2 linked regions of the Lonchura striata genome follow. The protein of the gene in region 2 interacts with the protein of the main gene of each other region in a pairwise test. Links are inferred from orthologs where the notes say so. Each region holds a gene or a part of one and is shown on either strand. Other genes may lie near its edges.

Region 1 (3,748 bases), on a different chromosome or scaffold from region 2:
TTTTTGTTTAAACAAGACAGATTACTGCCATTCTCACCTACTATACATGTAAATTCCTGCAGTCCCTCCCTCTTCCCTGGAGCAGTTAATGACCTCGTAGTCATTTCCTTTCCACATTCTTGCTCTTTGTATCTCCTGTTTCCCAGCCAATTCTCTCTAGCCTCACAAAACTCAGACAGTTTCCTCAGCTAGGTCAAGATCTTGCCACAGAGTTTATGTTTTTCTGTCATTAACCACAATGCCAAGTTACAGACCCACATAAGCCTCAGCCTCCACCTTCCCCCTGGGCAAGCCCCTGCCCCCCTCACCGGTGATTTTGGCCGTGTACCAGATCCCATCACTGTGCTTGGCCAGGCAGGCTGAGCCCACCCCCAGACTGCTCAGGTCGGGCTCCTGGAATGGCTGGAGCTCCTCTACGGACACCACCTGACCATGGGAAAACCTGCAGGGAAGGAGGAACAGGAGTTTTCAAATGAAAATCCCTTCCTTCCTCAAAAGAAATGCACACGAGTGTCAGAGGTGAGGAACCTTCACCATAATCAGGAAGGTGTGACCACGTGCTGTTGTAATTATAAAGTTGTTCATGTTTCACTTTAAACATGTTATTTATGTCATGGTACAAAGAATGTGTCTCACCCCAGAGAATTAAACTTCCTTGCTAGTGACACATCCAATTAAAAAGTTCCTGACTATGGGGATAAACAGGATCAGAGACAGGCAGGGCTCCAGCACCTTCACAAAGGCGAGGATCTCAGCCCAGCTCCAGCCCAGCACCTTCACTGGGGCTGATCCTGGTGAAGATCCACAAAAATGGAGCCTATACAACCTCCCTGTGCAACTGCCATGTGTGCATTACCCACAGACTTGGGTGTTTTGTTTTAAAATACTTCATCAGTCGTTAATTCAGCCACTCAGTTATGTAACATCTCTGCATCTTTCCCACAGGATTTTCCACTTCATCTGTGCATCAGCTATAGAGAGCAGCCAAACTGGTGCCACTGCTCACCACAGCACATTTTAAAAACACTAAGGCACAATCTCCCTGGGTAAGAAAGCCACAGAGCACTTGAGGAGGAGGATTAACCCTCTGAACGACAAGGCCTCTCCCACCCCTCTCTCTTTACCGACAGTTCTCCTTAAATCTGCACTTGTCATCCAGGAAGAAGGGGCAGGGCTTCAGGGACTTGTGGGTGGGGTACAGGTAGAGCACCCTGACCCCTGCACTGCCGTCCTCCAGCTCCTCTGTCCCCACAATCATGGCATTGTGGTACTCCAGGGTTCCCCAGGAGCTGTAGTAGGGGGCTTTGACCTTCATCCCGCTCAACCCCTCCTCCTCCTCCTCCCTCTCAGACTCCTCCTCCTCTTCACTGCACTTGGATTTGGGTTTATCCCCCGTTTCTCCCTCTCTCTCCGAGGAGATCTCGTTGCCATCAGCTGCAGGCTCCTCATCTGCTCCAAGCCCAGCAATGGCTTCCTTAAAAGCAGCGTATTCCTCATCTTGGGTAGAGCTCTCCCGGTGGGAATCCTGCCCTGGGAGACCTGCTGGGGAGGAGGAGGAGGCATCTGTGTCCAGAGTGGCCAGAAGTTTGCTCTTTTTCACAGCCACCAGGCTGGACTCGGTCAGTTCTATCAGCTGCTTCAAATCCTCCTGCAGCTGCATCAGGTCCGACTGCTGCGATGGGTCCTGGCCCGCCCCCAGCGCTAGCTCCACCTGCTCCAGCTGGGCGTTGTAGGTCTGGATCGCTGCTTCCAGACTCTCTTCATCCATTTTCAGCACAACAAAGGCGCTTTTGCCCGCGTTCTCTCCACGAACTCAAAACATTCAGAGTTTACTCAAGTACTTTGGGATAACAAGTCCTCGCCTGCAGAAGCGACATCTACCCGCCGTCCCGCTCTTTCCCTCGGAAATGCCCAGGGCGATGCTCCTGCTGGAAACAGACGACAAGAGGAGACGGGAGAGTCCGAGGAGAGGCCGGGCCTGGCCCTGCCCTCCACCGCCACGGAGTCCACTCTCGCCCACCGGGCCCCCGCACGGCACCGCTCCTCCCGCAGCCTGGGCGCTCCCTCAGCCCCAGAGCTGCGGCACCTCCCTGAGCCGCCACTGGCCCCTCGGCGGCCGCACCGCGCCCTCAGCAGCCTCAGTCCCGGCGAGCCGCCGCCATGGCACCCGCCATGACACCCCTCTTCCGGCCGCAGCGCCCCCACTTCCGCTGCGCTCGCAGCGCGTCACCCACGCAGTACCGGGCGCTGGGCATTCCGGGAGTTGTAGTCCACAGACACCATCCGCACCGCCACCGCAGCGGCGACAGGACTACATTTCCCAGTGTCCTGGGCGCGAAATGGCGGTGGCTGGTGGCGCTGGGGAGTCGTGAGGGGCGACTCCAGCTCCGGCGCTGACACCGGCACCGGATCAGGTGACGGGCCGCGGGGCTCGGGCTCGAGGCTCTTTCCTCGCCCGCTGCCCTCGGGAGCTCGGGCCGGGACCTGTCTCTGGCCCGGGACGTGACGCGGGGCCATTAGGGGGAAATGGCGGTAGGGCCGGTGATCTCCTTCAGCCGTCACTGGCTGTGACAGGGAGGGAAAGGGCGAGAAATCCCGGATCTTATGGAGGATCTCCCGTCTTAGGGAGGAGCAGGCCGGCGGTCGGGCTGGCCTGGGGTCAGTGGCTGTCCCGGGGTCAGTGGCTGTCCCGAGAGGGGAGCGGCCGGGGCTCCCCCTGCCCGGGGCACGGCAGGAGCTGGGGGCCAAGGGCGGCCCCGGTACCTGTGGGACTGAAGCCCCTTCGTGCCCTGTCCTCCCTTACTGTAAAACCCCCATCCGATTCCTGCTTTGAAACGCTTTTATTTCCCTTTAGGTAATGGTGTTGGACTTCAAAGTGATTGTTTAACCACGCGCTTGCTTAGAGGCAGCTGCCTCTCAAAGGCTGTGCCTGGAGGTTCCCTTTATCTGTGTTCGAACAGAAGGGGTGTTGCAATGCCCGTGAGTCAGCTGCAGCGCCTGCTGCCAGTGCTCCCTGCATCCCTGTGCCTCTGTGTGCGCACCCAGCTCTGAGCTTCTGTAGATCCCTGCTCCAAATACCTGCTCTTTGTATTTGTGTGAGCCCACTTCATTTTCTGTGGGTCTTACATTTACTGCAAGAGGTGTTTGAGTCCTTCCTCAGTTCCCCTTTAAACCCCAAATTTGATTGTGAGCTATTTTCATGATCTCTCTTAGATCTCTGATTTTTCCTGGGATTGCCTAAATATGAGAGGTACTGATGAAAGAGTAACATCGTTTGTTTGTCTGGCATCGGGAAAAACTTGTGCTGTGGCATGAGAGGCTTTTGGGAACAAGCTGTTTGTTAATTGATTTCCTGGCATTTGTTGCAGGAGCAGGATGTATACGCTGCTGTCAGGGCTCTATAAATACATGTTCCAGAGAGATGAGTACTGTGTCCTGATCCTGGGTTTGGACAATGCTGGTAAAACTGTAAGTGCTGTTTATCACTCCGTGGAGGGCACACACAATCCTAAACATCCTCCAGGGATAAATCTTCCAGCAAGGGTCATCCTGAGTTACTTTAGTGATGTCACACCAAGCAATCAACTTTTCCTCATTACTTAAATTTAGTACAAGCTTTCAGGGAGGGATGTGGCTGAGGCTTTGGTAATCCCATAATCACATGTGATCCCTTCTTTTCTTGCTAAAATAGGGAGTAAGAAGAGTGGTTTATCCAAAATTAGGTAGGGCACTATCTGCTCTAGCAGGA
Region 2 (3,748 bases):
GCTCATCAGTCTGAAAGGAAAAACAACTGTAAAATCACATACAAATGTATTAAAAAAATCCATAATTTTGAGAAAGGGTGGTAGGGACCTGCCAAGGCAGTAATGCTGAGGCAGTGCATTGCTGTGCTGTTCATTGGTGTGACCATACCTGAGTGAAGAACCAGGCCTCAGCATCCTTACGATTCTTCTCAGCCAGAGCTTCATACTGTTCCCTCATCTCAGCAAGAACTTTGGTCAGGTCGATGCCAGGAGCCGCATCCATTTCCACATTGACTGTTCCACTCAGCTGCTTCGAGTACTCTTTCATTTCCTGCATGGGCAGCAGAGAGAGGACACAAAAAGATCAGGCTCTCTCCTCTCACACTGCTCCTGCCCGCAGCAATCCCTGCTGTGGTACACAGTACCTGTGCTATCAAGTATCACAGATGGAGCACACATAAAACACTTATCACATTTTCTCTCTCATTACAACAGCTTCCCTATCTCTGTGTACTCATACAGGACACACGTATTTACATGTGACTTACATGTATGTTTCATTTGCAAGAGCTAAAATCCAAAGGGGAGTGATCTCCATGCACTGCCAGGACTCTCACCTCTTCGTGGTTCTTCTTCAGATAAGCCAGCTCCTCCTTCAGTGTCTCAATCTGCATCTCCAGGTCAGTTCTGGACAGGGTCAGCTCGTCCAGGACCCGGCGCAGGCCGTTGATGTCAGACTCCACGTTCTGGCGCAGGAACAGCTCATTCTCATACCTGCAGTTCAAAAAAGAAACAAGCACTGGAATGTTTCTGTGGTTGTATTCAACAGAGCTATAAAATGATCACATATGGGAGCAACAGTGGACTGTAGATGATACAGATTTAGAAGTGTAAAAGCAATAAAGCTGTTCCAATATCCAGATACAGCATAAAGGAAGCACAGACAAAGCCATATGATTTTGTTCTTGAGGGAGACATGACATTTCACCTTGCAGAACATAATACTGATTATCAGCATCAATAGAAACATTGTCACACAGGACAGGAGTTTTGCAGTGTCATCCCAGATTTGTGTAGGAAAGCACAGGTGGGGCAGGGCTGCCGGGGACACAGGAGGGAAAAGAGAAACCTGCAGGTGCATTCCTGCCGGGAAGGCAGCTGCACATGGACCTTTATCATCTGATGTGCTGCTGAGCCTGGGAGCTGCAAAAGCCCCACCTGACTCTAAATTTCAGACTCCAGCAGAGAAATGCTGAAGCCCCACAGCAACCTCTTCCTCCCACTCAGTTCCTTCTAAGTGAAAATCCCACCTATTCCTGCCTTCTTTCCCCTGTGATTCAGGCTAGTAAAAATATTTGAGTGTCACAAAAAAATGAAGACACAGGCTATAACTGATCCTGCAAACAGCTCAGTGATCTGAATGCTGTGTTCTGTCAGGTTTATACTCTGAATTGGTCCTTCATCAATGGATTCTGCTTGCCAGGATGTTTTGTATTGAAGTTACTAAAGAAAAAACTGTTTAGAGAGAGTGACAAGTAGAGTGAAGACAAATGAGCTTCAGGTGAACTTACTTCAGTCTAAAGTCATCAGCAGCCAGCCTGGCATTGTCAATCTCCAAAATGACCCGGGAATTGTCAATGGTAGCAGCAAGGATCTGGCAATTAGAAACAGAGAGAAAAATTCCTGTGAATAATGGTAAAATATCTGATCCACATTCCATGAGCAAACCAGAGAGCTGTGATACTCCATGCAAGACAAATTAGAACCACAGGGAAATGGGAAATGTGTTTGTACTATACCTGATCTTATCTGTAGCCAGGTGAATTATTTTTCCAGTCTTTGAGGCCTACCTGTCACATTCTTTACTATTTGATTTCTGAATAAATATATTGATAATTCTAAACACATTTTGCTAACTTTTACTGCAATCATTTTAATTTCAACAAACATCACATTGTCAGGGTAAGATATTTGTGTTTAAATTGAGAAGAGGCTACTCCATTCTGCTAGAATGCTCTGGACCTCGATGTATTTGGGATGAGGAATTCACTACTTCTTTTGTAATTATTTTAAAGACATGGAACATGCAGTTCCAAAATTCTCTTGCCTTCTTAAAACTCCTCTACATATGAATGCCATACCTTGTCTCGGAGCTCTTCAATTATCTTGTAGTAATTGCTGTAGTCACGGGCGGGGCTGGTGGGAGCTTGTTTCTGGTACCAGTCTCGGATTTTCACTTCTAACTCTGAATTGGCCTCTTCCAGGGCTCGTACCTTGTTCAGGTACGAAGCCAGCCGGTCATTCAGGTTCTGCATGGTTATCTTCTCATTGCCAGAGAGGAGGCCATCGCCACCAACAAAGCCACCACTGAAGTCAAATCCTCCACCAAAGCCAGAGCCCCCTCCAAAGCCAGAGCCCCCTCCAAAGCCACAGACTGCTCCCCCTCCAAAACCTCCTCCATAGCCCCCGCCAAAGCCGCAGCCTCCTCCTGAAGAGGAGACGTACCTGGCTGAGGAGATGGAGACACCCCGGCCGCCAGAGCCGCCGTGGATGCTCGGGGCCCGGCAGGTGCCTCCGACGCGCACCGAGGACAGGCGAGAGCTGCTGCCCCCGGCGCCCCCAAAGCCACCCCCGTAGGTGGAGGAAGAGCTCATGAAGGAAGTGGCCATGGCTGAAGCAAGAGCAGGAGCAAGGGTCAGTTATGCAGCCCGGCAAGAGAAGACAGCCTGTGCCTTCACTGCCCTCGTGCCTCTTTTATATGCTCACGATCGGGCGTTGGGAGACAAACCCCACTGCAGCCCTCCCTCCAAAATTCCTCCTCCCTAGAGGTGAGGCCAGCTATGATGACATTCCTGACAAGCAGTGCTGGCAGCACATCGCAGGGGCTTGGGCTTGGGGTTTCTTTTTTTAATTAAACAAAAGGCATGAATCAGATGATGTTTTTTCTTCAGGCTATAGTTCTGAAACTTGGAGTTTACTTCTCTGACATTTAAGAATGGAAAAACAAAGTGAGTTCAGCCCCACCCACTTACCTATTTACAATGCTTACCATGGCTACCTTCAGAAAATCAACTTTTTCTAAAATTGAGGCTTAAATAAAATTCTCTTTTCATTGAAAAATGTACAATCATCTCTTCATCTCACCATTATTCCTTTTCTATCTGTATTTTTTTCCTTTAAAATTTTGGAATTGAATTAGAAATGTTCTTATTGATTTTTTTCTTGGAACTAATATTTAGATTTTTGGAGTCTGAATTTTTATTACAAAAAGCATCTATTCATGGCACTATGTGAGGAACAATCAGCATCCATCAGTGTGCAAGGGAGAGTGGAAACAGTAAATTTATTAATCATTATGAAATAGTTCAGAAAGGTATCACAGCTCGAAACAACTCAGTTAAAAGAGTAAATGTGGGAGGACTAAGATCCTGTTACTGTACAGAAAATATAAAGAGAATGGGTTTAAGATAATGCTGTTCTTATAGCAATACATGTGTTTAATGCCAATGTGTTTAAGGAAATGGAGTAGTATTTGAAAATAAGTCTTGAGAAACACTCAAAGAGGCACCTTAATCCTTCATTTAAAGCAGGAGTCTAAACAGAAATACATAATTGAGCTGATAAATTGCCAGTGAAATTCAGGAATTCATTCATTCAGCCCTGTTCACCCTGCAGGGAAGACAGATTTGGGCAGCGTGTGAGGAAGCAAGAGCTACCCGTGTGCCCTGCTGGGCATGGGGTTTGAAGAGTGTGGGGTTTGCAGAGCACC

Evidence for each region. The genes of interacting proteins can lie anywhere in the genome.
Region 1: the proteins of keratin, type I cytoskeletal 19-like (region 2) and ZGPAT interact in binary tests that used the Homo sapiens proteins (3 or more experiments, as listed by UniProt). The two-hybrid records come from large-scale screens. The link is inferred for Lonchura striata from reciprocal best matches to the Homo sapiens genes KRT15 and ZGPAT.

Annotation. Positions count from the first base shown.
Region 1 is NC_134619.1:7,098,302-7,102,049, forward strand, and holds the start of ZGPAT (zinc finger CCCH-type with G patch domain-containing protein), read right to left. Parts: upstream 2,184-3,748; 5' UTR 1,769-2,183; coding exon 1,125-1,768; intron 443-1,124; coding exon 309-442; intron 1-308. Other genes in the region: ARFRP1 (ADP-ribosylation factor-related protein 1), read left to right, coding at 3,376-3,468. UniProt on the Homo sapiens protein: Transcription repressor that specifically binds the 5'-GGAG[GA]A[GA]A-3' consensus sequence. Represses transcription by recruiting the chromatin multiprotein complex NuRD to target promoters.
Region 2 is NC_134627.1:6,767,859-6,771,606, reverse strand, and holds the start of keratin, type I cytoskeletal 19-like, read right to left. Parts: upstream 2,649-3,748; coding exon 2,121-2,648; intron 1,634-2,120; coding exon 1,551-1,633; intron 754-1,550; coding exon 597-753; intron 311-596; coding exon 149-310; intron 11-148; coding exon 1-10.